Linked DNA regions of Arabidopsis thaliana. The protein of the gene in region 1 interacts with the protein of each later gene in a pairwise test. Each region holds a gene or a part of one and is shown in the gene's direction. Other genes may lie near its edges.

What was found.
Region 2: the proteins of WNK8 (region 1) and RACK1B_AT interact in a two-hybrid assay, tested with the Arabidopsis thaliana proteins (one large-scale study listed by BioGRID).
Region 3: the proteins of WNK8 (region 1) and NRT1.1 interact in a protein complementation assay, tested with the Arabidopsis thaliana proteins (one large-scale study listed by BioGRID).

What each region holds. Positions count from the first base shown.
Region 1 is NC_003076.8:16,796,407-16,802,064, reverse strand, and holds the start of WNK8 (with no lysine (K) kinase 8), read left to right. Parts: upstream 1-4,058; 5' UTR 4,059-4,502; coding exon 4,503-4,592; intron 4,593-4,957; coding exon 4,958-4,995; intron 4,996-5,079; coding exon 5,080-5,307; intron 5,308-5,407; coding exon 5,408-5,628; intron 5,629-5,658. Other genes in the region: AT5G42000 (ORMDL family protein), read right to left, coding at 1,384-1,522, 2,204-2,352, 2,434-2,610. UniProt on the Arabidopsis thaliana protein: Regulates flowering time by modulating the photoperiod pathway. Phosphorylates the vacuolar ATPase subunit C (VATC) and RGS1. Regulates EDM2 that, in turn, modulates development processes.
Region 2 is NC_003070.9:17,980,745-17,986,402, reverse strand, and holds RACK1B_AT (receptor for activated C kinase 1B), read left to right. Parts: upstream 1-3,025; 5' UTR 3,026-3,134; coding exon 3,135-4,013; intron 4,014-4,324; coding exon 4,325-4,426; 3' UTR 4,427-4,767; downstream 4,768-5,658. Other genes in the region: AT1G48640 (Transmembrane amino acid transporter family protein), read right to left, coding at 1-45; PEX3 (peroxin 3), read right to left, coding at 437-689, 797-1,012, 1,100-1,227, 1,293-1,329, 1,434-1,504, 1,612-1,742, 1,816-2,006, 2,097-2,258 and 1 more.
Region 3 is NC_003070.9:4,102,307-4,107,964, forward strand, and holds the start of NRT1.1 (nitrate transporter 1.1), read left to right. Parts: upstream 1-2,916; 5' UTR 2,917-3,034; coding exon 3,035-3,149; intron 3,150-3,334; coding exon 3,335-3,512; intron 3,513-3,606; coding exon 3,607-3,646; intron 3,647-3,820; coding exon 3,821-4,395; intron 4,396-5,658. UniProt on the Arabidopsis thaliana protein: Dual affinity nitrate transporter. Involved in proton-dependent nitrate uptake and in the regulation of the nitrate transporter NRT2.1.

The sequences.
Region 1 (5,658 bases):
GAGAAAACGAAGAGTTTATGAGAGATTTACTTACATCTTCACCAAAATCAAACCGGGTTTGAATCAAAATTCTGCTCTTTCTTATAAATAGTCTTTGTCTGGTCAAAATGATTGCATCGAAACGAATGAGTTTAAAACTCTTATCCAAACATTGCGACGATTCGGGTCACGTTTCTTAAAGTCGCAAATCCTTGCGAAGGTTTTTATAAACAAAAGGTTGGGTTTTGAAAGAAAGATATTGGAGAGGGTTTAAGAGCGAGATATTCGGAAATTGAGAGGTTTTGTTTCTTCGATTGTACGAAGAAGAAGAAGAAGAAGAGAGGAAGAGAGAAACAAATAAAACAGAACAAAGATCCTTTCCTTCTTCTTTTGTCTTTTTCTTCTCTCTTGTTTTTTTATTTATTAAAAAACTAATTTTGAAATAGTCAAACATTTGTTTGCACTTACTTAGTCAACATGAATATTCTAATCCCACTTTTATTTCAATAATCATATGTTGATTTGTCTTTCTTTAATGTATTTTTACTTTTCTTCTCTTGATTTGAGATAAACGACATTATACTACATCTTAATTTAAGAAAAATTGATCTTTCCCATTATTTTTTTTTGTTTTTCCACGTTTTGATTTGGTCATTGTTTGTTTTAGTTATTTGCCTATTGATAGATGAACAAATTCTAGTCTTTTTTGTGTGAGTCAATATCGATATATGTTACCCACCTATTCACTAAACAATTAGGAACAAGGTGATAACTCAGGGTACAAATGGACAAATTGTTTTTAAAAATTCCCTATTGTTTTTAATTTGGTTTAATGTCATCTAATTATTCATTTACACACTAACAGTAAATTTGAATATAAAAAAAAAATATTGTTTTCAGGTGGTGGGAACACGATTTTGTCAATTTCCCTTTTGAGCTCAATACATTACCTCACGTGTGCTAAAATGTCTTTACCCTTGTCACTAACGTAATTCACCAACAACAACAAAATCATCGGATTTAGTTATAAAGATGATATATATATATATATCAAAAACGGTATATATAAATAAATCTTCCCCAACTATTCATTCAAACCCTAGATTGCTCGCTAAACAACTTTCTGTTGTAACCAGTTTTGGGATTATACAAATAAGAAACTAAGAGAACCACAAAAGAGATCAAATATGAATTGATTAGAAGCCCCAAACAAAGAGTAGAAAGGTTTGAATATGCGATGATGGGATGTGACCAAATAACACATTTTCTCCGGTTAAGGGATTCAATGTCTGTATAGTACAGACATGTTGAATGATGATGATGGCATTTGTTGTTGGATTCCACATTCCAAATACTCTGATTCGCATTATACACAGACCTTTTTCTTTGTTTTCTCAAGTTTTTTCATTGGTCTCCATTGATTCCAAATATGCGGACCTTGTGCATGTGCGGGAATTTCGCAACCACCATGACAAATACAGCCAGTGTGTTGAGAAAGAGCATCGGGTGCTGATAGTCTGTTGTGTGAGAGGCTATCAAGTACCTACATACAAAGTTTGGTCAGACTTTTATGTCACAAAGATCCAATCATTGATTACATATTCGTCACACACAACACAATTGAGGTATTCCACTACACATAATCTAGTAGTGCTTCTTTTAAGAGAGATTCAGCAAACTCATAACAGACCTTATGTCTTGTACGAATGTCTAAATCTAAATCTAAATCCAAGGCTCTTGAGCACTAGCTAAAAGACCTTAATAATCAAGCGAGTTTAATCATAGTAGGAAACTTAGGTCCAACCCTAATCAGTGAACAGATTTGAAGCACTAGTCAACAAACAGAAATCAAAATGAGAAGAACGGTAGTGTCTTGACTCTTGTGTATCTGATTGTCATGTCAAAATGTATTCTGTGTAGTAATAATTGCAAATCAAATTGTCAAAACAACCACTTCACCTAGGAATAGAATTGTAATTAAGCTCATTGACTAGCATCTCTATATAACCAGATGTAAAATGAGCTACAATAAGATAAAGAACAAGTAGGTAGGGAAACGAAGATCAATGTATCTCTAAAACATAACTTAAGCAAAAATTACACCAAATACAGAAACAATCATAGAAAATAAGGTAAGGCATTCAATTTTTCGATACTGAACAAGATCAACAAGAGATGATGATGCAAAACAAAATCCTAATGAGATATGAGAGAAGGAACTTACAAGACAACAGGAACAACGGTGAGAAATTTGCGATTACGTGTAAGCTGCTTGCCATTATCAATCTGTTCCCACCAAGTCAATCTATTATAGACTCCTTGATCATCTCCAAATGGTGTTCCCTTCTTCCAATGGAAGGAATGATACGTGACCTAGAAAACAAAAAAACTCAAAAATTCAAATCTAGAAACCAACAATTTCGAAATTGGATCGGAGGAGATCGGGAATAATACGGTGAAATGAGCGAGATGAACAATGGTCCAAGCGATGCCAGGAGAACAATGGAAGACGGAGAGAACGAGGAGCCAAGAGAAGAAGAGGATGAGAATATAAGTAGTCCAAACACCAGGATATGTGAACCACTCTGTGTTCCGATTCACATCCGTCGTCGGAAGTGCTCTTACGTACATCGTCTTTTTCACCGGAGGGATTTGGAAGAAGATCGGAGATGATGATTGATGAATCGTCGTTGAGCAAGTTTTCTTTCTTCTTTGTTTTTTTTTTCTCTGCTGCGTTCTTTGGGCTCTTTCTGGGCTTTTTATTTTCTACAATTTTTTTAAAAAGAAGCATTAAATTAAAATAGGAAGGTGGTTGGGTGGCTCACCGATCTTAGCCTAAAACAATGATTATCAGTAACTCTGTCTCAAGACTCTCAACGCGTCACTCGATAAACCACGACGACTCATATTTTTAATTTATTGGACTTTTCTTGTCAGCTTACATAGAGGCCCATTACAAAACACACCGGTTTTCCGACCCGACCCGTACCTTTTCATCCGATAATTTAATTTACATTTTCAAAATATGTTCTGAAGTTAATTCTTGACCATATTAGTAAGAGTTATTTCATTTTATTTTTGAACAAATTTTAGCTGCCAAATTTCGAAATCCTTTTTTTTTTGCTACCAAATTTTCCATCCAGTGCTTCCGTGAAAAATATTTCGAATAAAATACCATTTTAAAAAACATCTTCGAATAAATATCTAAAATTATCAGTTTTTTGTTCTTCTCATATTTTCAACTTGATGAGGATTAGATTTAGATTCACCTAATGATTACAATAAACACGATTAAGCCTCGTTGGTTTTTTAAGACAAACTTACAATTTTTTTGTTTTTTCTTTTCTTCATCACACACTCTGTCTCACCAACTTATTCAATAAAAGCAATTGGACTTTTAACACAAAATATATTATTCAACGACAAAATGATTTCGTATTAATGCTATACTATCCAAGGTTCATTAAATTTGAACTAGCTATATCTTTTTATTAAACTTATAGAATTTAGATTCCACAATTTCTTGATTTCCATGCACAGAAAAAAAACTTTAAATAGATTACTATTCCCTCTAATTAAAATATAAGATGTTATAAAAGTTTATCTTTTAAATATTAAAAAATATTTTGTTAGTTTCTATGAAAATTAAATGTATTTGATAATTTGTGATCATTTATATTCTGCAGTTTTTTCTTATGATTAGTTAAAATTTTTAATTCTATAAATAATATTTTTTAGAAAGAATGATCTTAATATGTGTGATTGTTTTAAACATTTTATATTTTGAAACAAAGGAAATAACATCGTATTTCTGAGGATTTACATAATGTTTTTTTTTTGGTGCACCTAGCATAATGTTTTATTAGTAGAAATTATTCATAACCTGAAACATGTAATTGCATAAATGGCCTAAAGTCAGCTGAAATAAAATGAAAACAGAGGATACATAATTAGTAGAATAATCTCAAATATAAGAGAAAGTGCGTTAGTTGATAAAGACAGATAATTTGACTTTCCGATTTATTTGGCCGCCAACCTTTTTTTGTTTTGTTCTTCCTAAATTCCCTTTCTCCGAAATTCCTTTCATTGATTTCATCATCATCATCATCCTTCGTTTTTTCTCTATCGATCTAGCAGATTCTTTCGGGGACCAAAATCAAAATCATGGTGGATCATCAATGGAAGGATTTAATCGGATAAAAGAGAAGAGACGGAATCACGACGGGAGAAGAGATCGGGAAATCGGAAAATCGGAGATGATGGGGATTTCTTTCGCCGCCAAACTCCGTTTCCGATCTCGATTTCGAACTTCTTCAATCGATTCTTATTGCTTCGCTCGTGAGGCTTTCTCCGATTGTATCTCCTCCGTCCATTTCTTCTTCTTATAACCTTTTTCTTTGTAATAACCTCCGTCCTCTTCAGCTTTCTTTCTTTTCATCTTCAATCTCACCTTAAATTCTCCACTTTTTTCTTCTTCTCCTTCTGTTCTCGATTGCTTTGTTTGTTGTGTTGTGCATACATATATGGCTTCTGGTTCTGGATTTTTAGGTCAGATATCGTCCATGGAAGAGGCTGATTTTGCCGAGAAAGATCCTTCTGGCCGTTACATCAGGGTACGTCACTGTCTTCGTTGATTCATGTGTGAATTTGCATTCAATCTCGTTTGGTTGAGTGTTTTTTATTGTTGAATTATGAGGAAATTGATCAGAATTTGAGAATTTTGACCTAGTTTAATGAGTTCTCTTTGTAGTTCTACCTAATGAGGGCTGTTACTTTGATCGTATGGTGATGATTATTGGTTTATAGCAATGTGTGTTTTGTTCATTGTTACGTGTTTTCGACTTTTAAGCTATGTACAATTGTACATTTGGAACAATCAAGCTTAAGATCATGTTGTATTGCTGATTTTTTCGAGTTTGTATGGTGGAAAACATATAGTGATTGATCGATTCGTTTTTTTTTTGTTGTTGTTGTTTAGTATGATGATGTTCTGGGGAGAGGAGCTTTCAAGACTGTGTATGTTTTCTACACCCTATTATGCTTTTATGTTTTTAGTTGTAAAGGAAAGTGATTCTGATTTGTTTATTAACTCTTGTATAGATATAAGGCGTTTGACGAAGTAGACGGGATTGAAGTTGCTTGGAACCTAGTTAGCATTGAAGATGTAATGCAGATGCCTGGTCAACTTGAAAGGCTATATTCTGAAGTTCATCTACTAAAGGCTCTAAAACATGAAAACATCATCAAACTCTTTTACTCTTGGGTTGACGAAAAGAACAAGACTATTAACATGATCACTGAGCTTTTCACCTCTGGTAGTCTCAGGGTGTAAGTATCTCCCCCACTTCTCTTTTGTATTGATGATCCTTCATTCTTTTTTTTTTTCCTGTGCATCACATGGGTTGACACCATTTCATTTGATGTGAAGATATCGTAAGAAGCATAGGAAGGTTGATCCCAAGGCCATCAAGAACTGGGCAAGGCAGATTCTCAAAGGCCTGAACTATTTGCATTCTCAGAACCCTCCGGTAATTCACCGGGATCTGAAGTGTGACAATATATTTGTCAATGGAAATACTGGAGAGGTCAAAATCGGAGATCTCGGGCTCGCAACTGTACTGCAGCAGCCCACTGCTCGAAGTGTGATAGGTAATACACCATAAACCATTTTCCTTCCTA
Region 2 (5,658 bases), on another chromosome or scaffold:
TTGCTCTGGTGGCGGAGGAACTCCATCTGTCATCTGAATATACATTTTATCCGACAACCTGCGATAACTCTTACACTTTTGTTCTCCGGTAATCTCATTAATTACGGATGTGTATAAAATCTTGCGCTTGTAGCAGCTATAGATTGGAAAAGTCAACCTTTGTTCCGTTGACTTGTGTGCAAGGCACGAACGCAGTGGAGGGATCGTGGACACTTTAAATGCAAGTTGCTTTACTTATTTTCTAATCAAAGTTCCAAGTGTCCTATTAAACAAATGCTCTTCTTTTCTAATCAAAACAAATAAATGAAATCAACTTTGGTTCTACAAGCTCAAAACACGAAAATTCCTGCATTTCTTTCAAGCTAAAAGACCCCCCTACAAAGAAAGCAAATAGCAAAACACTTTGGGGAATTTCTAAGAGAACAAACAAAAGTTGCTATTGCGGCATATTAGCGTATAAAAGAGTAAAAAAGAGTTTAACTTCAGGCAGATCTCTGATGATTTGTAAGAACCGGTTCTTGCTTGGTTCAGCTGTAATCACATTCATTGTCTTCTCAATCTGTGGTAAGACCTTTGCCAATGGTTTCCCTGTAGCCAAACCGCCTGCTTCAGTCTGCGTTTCCATTTCCTCTACCAACACATCCGTGAAGCACTTGAGCGAAATTTCGACTATATTTGTGAATTCAGTGCTGCAACAAGAAAGACACCAAGAGATAAGTTTATTCCCCACAATCATCCAAGAGTGTAAGAAAGAGGAAAAATTGTGTGTTTATCTTAGCAGATAGACATTACTTACCTGATGAGTACTTCTCGAGTCTCAACCATGAGTTGATGAAACTTGGACACAGCTTCATCAGAAGAGTCACTTGTGGTTCTTGAAAGCTTTGTGTCTTGAGGCATCATTAAATAATCAACCCAGTGATGTGGGCTTCCAGTGCTCATAAACACATCTACAATCTGCATCACGGTTTCTTGAAGAACTCTTGTGGTAATTACATCCTTTAACTGCTTTCTGCAATTAAACACACAAAAACATATTAGAGTTTTTCCAACAATAGTCAAATTATAAACGATCTAGATACGAATTTTTGCAATGTACCCTTTAAGGACTTCCTCGGCTGAACCCTGCATATCTGAAATCAAACTTGGCATTGCATTGGTGACAAGAAAATCAGCACTCGACAAAAACTTCTGTTCATCATCTCTATCAATGAGATCTACCTCTTCCTGCAAACAAAAAGAAACAAATTTAATAGATACACTGTTGAAAGCTCACAGGGCAAGCAGATCACAGGACAAGCGGCCGTGGCTTTAAAAGGTAATCTGGAACTATATCAAAGAAAGATAGGTGATTCCAGAGTATTAGTCCACAGATAGGTCAAATGCATAATCGTTATCGCAATTAAACACAGCTACTAGAGACATAATTATACAAGTTCTTAACAGAACAACCAGTGAGTTTCCCCGAGAAATAGCTTGTTGGGGATGAGATAAGCAAAGTACACTGAATCATACTTGCGAGCAAATGAGAGCAGTAAAGAACATGTGCAGTATCGTTTAATAAACAGCAAATTCTCCAATACAGAGAAGAGGGGAAGCATATTATCTTACAAGTAAATGAGAGCTGCCAAGAGCTCGAGCGGTGTCAACATACAAATGTCTGCCTAAAATGTTGACTTGAACCCTAATGTATAAGCTAAGCATTGTCACAGACCACAGAGACAAAACCATCCTCGTGAAACCTGGCAAATAACATGAATATACAGGTAAGAAACAGAATTTGATAGAGTAAGAGTAGGTGACTGCAGTGCATACTCAAAATCTTGAGCTCATCCCAGAGCTGAAGTTTCTCAGGTGGACTCAGCATTCCTTTCCCTTGGTTCAGTCTGTCCATAACATGAGAGACATCGATCTCCTCGCTGATACGGATACTCAAAAACTGCATTGCGTGAGGCAGTGTGGTCGAATCCACAATCATCTGAATACTCTCGAAATGTGCTTTCATTCTAAACAAGAGTACAAACAAGACAGGTCCGTTAGAGAATCCATAAGAACTGAAGTCTAAAGGATCAGTTTTTATGAGCACAGAACTTAACTGGGTTTTGATGATTTCGTCATTTTCACGCTCGTGAGCGAGTTCTCGTTCCAAATCAGCAAGCCTACGAGTATGGGAATTGTATAGTTTGTAGAGTAAATACCCACTTCCCAAACAACCAGCCGTCACCAAGACCTTCCTTCTATGCTTCCTCCAAAAACCCCTAATTTATTCCACAAGGTATTGAATCAATTAAAAACCCTAACTTTATTCACCAAAAACCCTTCCTAAGGAATTGGAATTAGTGTGCTAGAGAGAGAGAGATAGAGAACGCAAAACACTAAATTTCGAATTTTCACGAAAACAGTAAGCAATTACAAAGAAAGATGAAGCGAACAAGAACCTAACGAAATCCATGGCTGGTGAAGCTTTTACTGAAGTCGAACCCAGAGATACATAGCTGAGAAAACACGTAGAAAGATGAAGATTCCCGAATTGATTCGTTCGGTTTGAAAAGGAGATAACTTTGCAGGCGAGAGAAAGAGATGGTTGATGTGATCGATTTCAATTTAATCAATCACTTCATCTTTTTCTTCTCCGGAATTCGGACATGTAAAATTATATCTTCCACAGGGACAGTCGAAGTTGTGTTCTTAGTTCTTACAATAAAAGTTGAAATGGCCAAACTCGGTTTGTTTACTTTAATTGAACCGACTTTTGAGTCTATTTCAATTTTTGACAATAACTTCTCGGTAGAGTTCTCATGGGGTTTGCCCAAAAGAGAGAAAAAAAAGTTGTCATGTCATGTACTCATGTGGTTATCAAATTGACTTGTAACAAGCTATACCAATTCTGGTTAAGCGTTCCAAACAGAAAGATATAAATCTCGGTTCCATAATTGTCCCAACATGAAACCAAGTTGGGTAGAATACCGGGCCTTAATGCTGGCCCAAATGAAGAGACCCAAACTATTGACAAATGAAAACAAAGAACCCTAATTATCTCTAACTATAAATACTCTCGGTTTCTCGTTACCTCCATTTTGCCCTCTCCCATTTTTGTCGCCGAAACCCTAAATCTCGACCTCAAACCCTGAACCATGGCTGAAGGACTCGTGTTGAAAGGCACAATGTGTGCCCACACTGATATGGTCACCGCCATTGCTACACCGGTCGATAACTCCGACGTGATTGTAACTTCGTCGCGTGACAAATCAATCATCCTCTGGAAACTCACAAAGGAAGACAAGTCATACGGTGTTGCTCAGCGGAGGATGACTGGTCACTCTCACTTCGTTCAAGACGTTGTTCTCTCCTCCGATGGACAATTCGCTCTCTCCGGATCTTGGGACGGTGAGCTTCGTCTCTGGGATCTCGCTACCGGAGAATCTACTCGTCGTTTCGTTGGTCACACGAAAGATGTTCTCTCTGTTGCTTTCTCTACCGATAACCGTCAGATCGTCTCTGCTTCTCGTGATCGTACGATTAAGCTTTGGAACACGCTTGGTGAGTGTAAGTATACCATCTCTGAAGCTGATGGTCACAAGGAATGGGTTAGTTGTGTTAGGTTTAGTCCTAATACTCTTGTGCCAACTATTGTATCTGCTTCTTGGGATAAAACTGTGAAGGTCTGGAATCTTCAGAATTGTAAGCTTAGGAACACTCTTGCTGGTCACTCTGGTTACTTGAACACTGTGGCTGTGTCACCTGATGGTTCGTTGTGTGCCAGTGGTGGCAAAGATGGTGTGATCTTGCTTTGGGATTTGGCTGAAGGGAAGAAGTTGTATTCTCTTGAAGCTGGCTCTATTATTCATTCACTTTGCTTCAGTCCCAATAGGTACTGGTTGTGTGCAGCAACAGAGAATAGCATTAGGATTTGGGATCTCGAGAGTAAGTCTGTTGTTGAGGATTTGAAGGTTGATCTTAAGGCTGAGGCTGAAAAGACTGATGGTTCTACTGGAATCGGAAACAAGACCAAGGTATCTATTTCTCCTCACTCTATCTTATGGTTAATTGTCTAGTTCTAAGTTCTGTGAATTAGTTAGCCGTTGCCTTAAAAGATGAGATTTTCATAAAGGAAGGTCTGAATACTCTCATGTGAAGTTAGTTCACAAGATTTGATTGGTACGTAAGAGAGTAGCTAACATTAGATTGAGAAACCTGGTTTTAAGTTAGCTCTAGTCTCTGATTTCTTAGATTGTAGTGTCTGAAGTGATTCCATATTGATTTGTTGGTTACTCTTTGGTCTGAGGTGGTTTATATATGTTCTAATGTGGAATGTAAAATGCAGGTGATCTACTGCACAAGCTTGAACTGGAGTGCAGATGGAAACACTTTGTTCAGTGGATACACTGATGGAGTTATCAGGGTTTGGGGTATTGGTCGTTACTAGAGAGACAAGAAGTTTCTTTATTCTCTCCAAATTTTTCCATCGACTCTAAAGTCTTCTCTTCTGAATTAGTGTTTTGAGGATTTATTTTTTGTTCTTTTCTATTTTCAGAATCCACAAATGTGATATTTTGATACATTGATTTTGTTTCATATTTGTTTTCTTACACTGAGTCTGAGTACACGGCGTAGAATCTGATTTGAAGTTGTTACTTGTATCCTCTAGAAAGTAGAAATGGCTTTAGGTTGATGACTAACTGTATAACAGCAAGAATTTTTTCTTAGGAATCTGAAAACTTCAAGGAGTTATTAGCCTTTACTTTTCCAGTGGTTACATCTTAACTACAACACGAACCCTTTCAAAAGAATCTCTAAACACCAATGCACCAACCAGTTTATCTTTTTGTACTTAATGATATTTGGTTTTCCATCTCTTACTCTACCAAAACTAAGAGTAGTCTAAAGTGTAGGCGACAAGGCCATATGTTATACGAATTCTCAGTTAACATGAACCGAATATAGCCCATATAGAATAGTTCTTGACCCAGACGCTTACCTCCATACGGCACAGAGTCTCTGATAAATGGGTCTTATTAGCATTAATTTTGTGTGTAGCCAAAGGTTGAAACTTGAGAACTTCTTCATGCTCAAAAACACCAAATGAGGTAAACCATGCACGAGTCAATAGTCAATAATCAAAAGTGCAATCAAGATTGTTTTCACTGCTTTTCCGAAGAAACCAAGACCCCCTATGACATGTTTCAGCATCATAAGCCGCTCAACAAAGCAATGCTTAATTGCTCTGTAAAATTTTTCATATTTCTTATCTTTTAGATATTCTACACCCAATACCCAAGTCCACGTATATAACAAGATCTTAATTAGGCTCCGTAGGCTTCGACAACATGTCCATTTTATATCATGCTTTTTTTTGTAGTCCAAATAAGCTAAGGTTGATCAAGAATGGAACATCAAACTACTAAAACTATAGATCGTTTAGCTCTGCATGATTTAGAGAAACCGCAGCAAAACTATTTCTATCGTCATTAGATGATATAATACAACCTTTTGCACTAATTTAGGCTTTGCAAATTTGAGAAAAAGAAATATAGACTTTATTATATTCTGTTTTGTTAACAAATTAGGCTAATCTACCTCATATTGGTTACTCGGATACTTTCTTCTCAAATGCGACAAGTCTCAACATGTTTCGATCAAATAGACGTGTTTCTATAC
Region 3 (5,658 bases), on another chromosome or scaffold:
TTTACTTTGTGTTTAAATTTTACTTTTACTTAAGTTACATTTTCTTAATGCTTAGTTTAATTTTCTAAAAGGGAAAAACTATGATTTATACGCGGATACGAGGGAGTGGGATGCATTAAACAAAATTCAAATTTGACGTCAATTAAGCAAATTAAAACAATAATCTGTTTCACCTTTTTGTGACAAGTGGACGTCTTCTTTCTCATCCAAGTTAGCCATCTATTTCTCCTAAACACATTGTTAATTAGTTTCATTATTAGTGACGAAATCAAGACGCCGTAACCGATAATTCTAACATAATCCCTTTTATAATAAGAAGGATACAATTTCAAAGAACATACTAATATTTACAATATTATTTAAGATTGTATTATTGAACAAGTTGTCATTCCTGTGTTTGGTCAACTATGGCCTTTGGGATACTCAGAAGGATTCCATACCCAATTATTTAATTCGATACCCTTCTTCTACATGATTCAATCAATCCTTTTAAAAAATTGAATCTGTATTTTTTTTCTTCCTTCGTCACCTGCTGGAATATTAATATCATATAATTAGTAATAAATCATTAAGTTTTGTCAATGTTACACATTTAGACCCTACAACTTTATTTAATTTTATCTATCAAGCTAACAAAATAAGGTACTAACCAGTTAATGAAATTAAAATTGAGGATATACATATAGTTTAGTAAAAAACTTTGATCGATACCTTATCTGAATTGAAACTATTCTGATCTATCCTAACAATATTAAAAATGGTTTACATGCGCTATCATCATTTTTTCTACTAAAGGATTTAACGCTTATTGTAAAGGCCTTTTTTTTTTTTTTACTCTGATGGTTTGTCAGAAGATTATTCGTTAATGAATTATACGTTTGTTATAAACTGTAAATCTTCATTTTGAATGTAAAACTCAAAAATTAAAATTGAAGCAAAAGGTAGTTTCCTTGTTCGTGCTAACTGCTAATGTCGATTAAGATTCATCCTCTTGAAATGACCGAGTCAACGCTGAGGGAGAATCTCACGTGGTCCTACCAACTATCACGTGCCAAAAATCTGGGCCCTGAGATATACCTATAAGCAAAAGCCAGCTCCGCCCAAAACATTTGATCCATCCATTTTCATTTTTATTTTCCAATTTTGAAGTTAGGGTTTATTTTTATAAGTTTCCATTAATTTATTTTCTTATTCCTTTTCGGAGGATGTGTTTATTAATTTAATTTCAATAGAAGATAATATATTTGGGTTCACCACTCGTTCTCTTTTTCTTTTTGGATGGGACTCTTCATTGTGACTTTTTTGTTCTCGCTCTTCCACAATCTTTGGATGTGTACAAAATAATCGATTGTTGGGGATATTATAGTAAATTTAGCAATATGAAACTAGCAACGAAGAAAGTGTTTATTGATGGGTTCAAAATTTCATCGATCTGCATATCAATAACTCGGAAAGAGATGGATCATGACACATAGTATACAATAAATTTTATAAATTTCGAAAATTAACTAATTGAGGATAGAAATTCATCAATTACTTAATAAATAAATAAAAAACTGATTCAAATGTATGTTTTACTTCTGTAACATACAATTTCTTGCTTTTCTTGAAAATTGACTCGTTTTTTATATTGGATATTTTACATAGACTTTGAGACTTATTAATAAAACTAACTAACCATCTCTTACAAATTGTTGGAATAAATTATTTTTATTTTTCTGTTGGCTCTATAAAATGAAAATGACCTTTGTTCTTCTTCTTTATACTCCTATATATGTTTTCTCCAGAGAGAAAGAGAACCATTGAAGTTGCGAGACTTCCAATTATATATATAGTTCATGAAAGTCCTGTGACCATGCTCTTTATTTATTTTATTTCACTATACGTTAAATAAATGGAAAGTAGGGTAATAATCATATTGCAGCATGATTCATTTTAGTGGCGTCTAAGAAGCATTCATTTTGAGCCATTAAATCTCAAGGTAGACTTTCCCATTAACACAAAAGAAGAAAAAATTGGTACGTAATCATACCAACATCTACAAATCTTTGGTTTCAATTTTGTAACAAAGACCTAGATTGTTGACAAACAAAAAGCAAATACCTAAAAGGACTTTTATTGACTTCTATAAAGATGTTTTGATTGAAATTTCATATAATTTAATAGTTTCCTCAAACTATATGCAATAAAATTATAATTTGATAATTACATGTGAAAGAAAACATGACTCTCAAATTAATATGAGTCGATTATCAATAAATTTTTGTGATATGGCTGTGCTGCAGAACAACTGAATGGGCCTAGAAGTAAAGTTGATATTGAGCAAACAAAAAACGAAATAGATTTTTTTTTTCTTTTGGGCAAACTCAAAAAACGAAATAGATATGCCTCGACAATACTACAAAATCTCAAATGAACAATATTGATGAAAATGCGTTTGTAACACAGAAATCAATTATTTTGAATTATTTTCCATATATAGTACAGACGTAAAAAACATACTGTATTATCTTTCATGGAAGTAAAATAATTTTCCAAGAAATAGAACAAATGTAAAACAGGTGGTGGCTAAAACTGGTGCTTTTAATGGCTAATGCCATTGAATCACTGACAAAATGACCGATGACTTCAACTTAAAAGTTCAAGCCCACAGTTCCAAAGGTAGAGGAAGTGGTAAAATTTAGGTATGGTCTCTTTCTCTCTCTCTCAATTTTCTCTTTCTACAAATATATACTACAGTTACAGTAGTAGTTATTATTATTAATTATTCTCTCCCCAATCAAACAACACTCATCAGAGTCACACATGTGTCACTTTTTTCTTCAATATTTTAGTTTTATGAATAAAAAATCAAAATAAAACAATAAAAACTTTTTTAACTTGGCTAGTTTCCCAGTATAAATAGATGTATCAACGAACACATTTAAGACCACAAAAGAAACCAAGAGCTCTCAAACAAAACAGCCTTTTACATAAGAACAAACACCCCCAAAAACTGCAAAAAAAAGAGAGAGATCATTAATCCATCTTCAAGATGTCTCTTCCTGAAACTAAATCTGATGATATCCTTCTTGATGCTTGGGACTTCCAAGGCCGTCCCGCCGATCGCTCAAAAACCGGCGGCTGGGCCAGCGCCGCCATGATTCTTTGTAAGTATAATCACATAATAAAAGTTCTAGAGAAAAGCTACCAACAATATACATGCTGAAGACAAGAATTGAAACTTTTTAATGGCATTTACTAAGTTATAAGTTTCTTATGGCTATCATTCTTATTCTTTTATGTATTCTCGATGTATCCAACTTTATCATTAACAAAATTTTATTGTGTGAAGGTATTGAGGCCGTGGAGAGGCTGACGACGTTAGGTATCGGAGTTAATCTGGTGACGTATTTGACGGGAACTATGCATTTAGGCAATGCAACTGCGGCTAACACCGTTACCAATTTCCTCGGAACTTCTTTCATGCTCTGTCTCCTCGGTGGCTTCATCGCCGATACCTTTCTCGGCAGGTTTGTCTATAAATATATTTATATTTACTTAACTAAAATCATTCAGATTCTTTTTAAAATATTAATTTGAGTTCATTCATTTTGTTTTGTATAGGTACCTAACGATTGCTATATTCGCCGCAATCCAAGCCACGGTAAGGACCTCAAAAGTCCCTTTCTCCTTACCAAAACTTATACCCAAGAAAACGAAGAAAATAAAAATATTGTCTAGTCAATAAACAAATCGAAATAGTAAACAGCATAAGTCGTTATTTTTGTTATAGTTTTCCGAAAAATAATATCCGTGTTATGAACTATGATGCTATCAGGGTGTTTCAATCTTAACTCTATCAACAATCATACCGGGACTTCGACCACCAAGATGCAATCCAACAACGTCGTCTCACTGCGAACAAGCAAGTGGAATACAACTGACGGTCCTATACTTAGCCTTATACCTCACCGCTCTAGGAACGGGAGGCGTGAAGGCTAGTGTCTCGGGTTTCGGGTCGGACCAATTCGATGAGACCGAACCAAAAGAACGATCGAAAATGACATATTTCTTCAACCGTTTCTTCTTTTGTATCAACGTTGGCTCTCTTTTAGCTGTGACGGTCCTTGTCTACGTACAAGACGATGTTGGACGCAAATGGGGCTATGGAATTTGCGCGTTTGCGATCGTGCTTGCACTCAGCGTTTTCTTGGCCGGAACAAACCGCTACCGTTTCAAGAAGTTGATCGGTAGCCCGATGACGCAGGTTGCTGCGGTTATCGTGGCGGCGTGGAGGAATAGGAAGCTCGAGCTGCCGGCAGATCCGTCCTATCTCTACGATGTGGATGATATTATTGCGGCGGAAGGTTCGATGAAGGGTAAACAAAAGCTGCCACACACTGAACAATTCCGGTACGATTCTTTTAATTAACTCATCATTTGCTTTCCACGTACGATCCTCAAAACTTACAATGATTTAAATTTTAAGATAAAAGTTTTAAAATTTTTCTTTTTCTTTTCCATTTAAGGGTTAATTGAAATAATTGAGGTACTGGTTCCCTTAATTAAATGTGATAGTATCAGTAGACTTTAAAAATGTGAAATTAAAAGTGGGGTTGTGTGGGTGAGAAATAACTCGAAATGCTCGTGTCCTTTAATTATAGTGGGACCGTAAATATTTCTCATTATATGCCTACTTGGCATTAGAAATCATTTTTTTTTGACAGCCATTATAAATTAATTAAAAGGTGTTGAATATCTTTCTTTGTCTTTTGTTACGGGGAAAATAAATTATTTTCATAATATTATTACTCGACCATACAGCGAAACTGGTCCAGGATACGAATTATACAGCTAATTACAACATTTTTGGATTTTTGGGTTCAAAGTCCCTACTTTGGCATTTTATATTGTATATTTTTTCCTTAAAATCCTATGTGTGTGTGCATGTGTATATCTTTGTTAGATAACACGTTAAGTTCGGTTCATAGAATAGGTAGGAAAATAAAAGTAGTCTCTCGGAATTAGTCGGAAAGATAAAGTAATTCAGATAAACAAATGAATAAGTATATGCAAGTGATATCAAGTGGGGTAAAATTCTCCATCTTTACTTTTTGCCTATAAAAAATTTCACACCCACTCGTAGAATATTTGGTTTTTACAGAAAGAGTATCTTCATCATTGCGGAAAATTAAATACACCAATTTGCTATTTTATCTTTATTATAGTATTATAATTATGATTATGATTCTAATGCCTTATAACTTTAAATACACATACACTGACACACATATATCTATATTTATATTCCCCTGACTCGTGAGTTTTCCCCCTTTAAGTACGGTATCTTTTATTTTTGCTAACTTAAGTACAGTATCTTTTATCCATCAATCCCTATGCATACCTACATAGAAATAAAAGAATCCAAAGGAATCAATTTTTCTTTATACCAGATAATTTATGGAAAATCTATTTAGCATCTCTAGATATTGGAATCCCTTTCTCGGAAATAAAACTAATAAAGAAGAAGAGACGAGAAGTTAGGGTAGGGAGGCAGGTGTTTTGTCTGTAGTGAAAACGATCAAATATCGTGTCGTAGCACCTCCACTACTTTACACCTTCACCGGGACAGACCCAAAGTTAGGCATAATTAAGAACCCTAGCGTCACATGCACG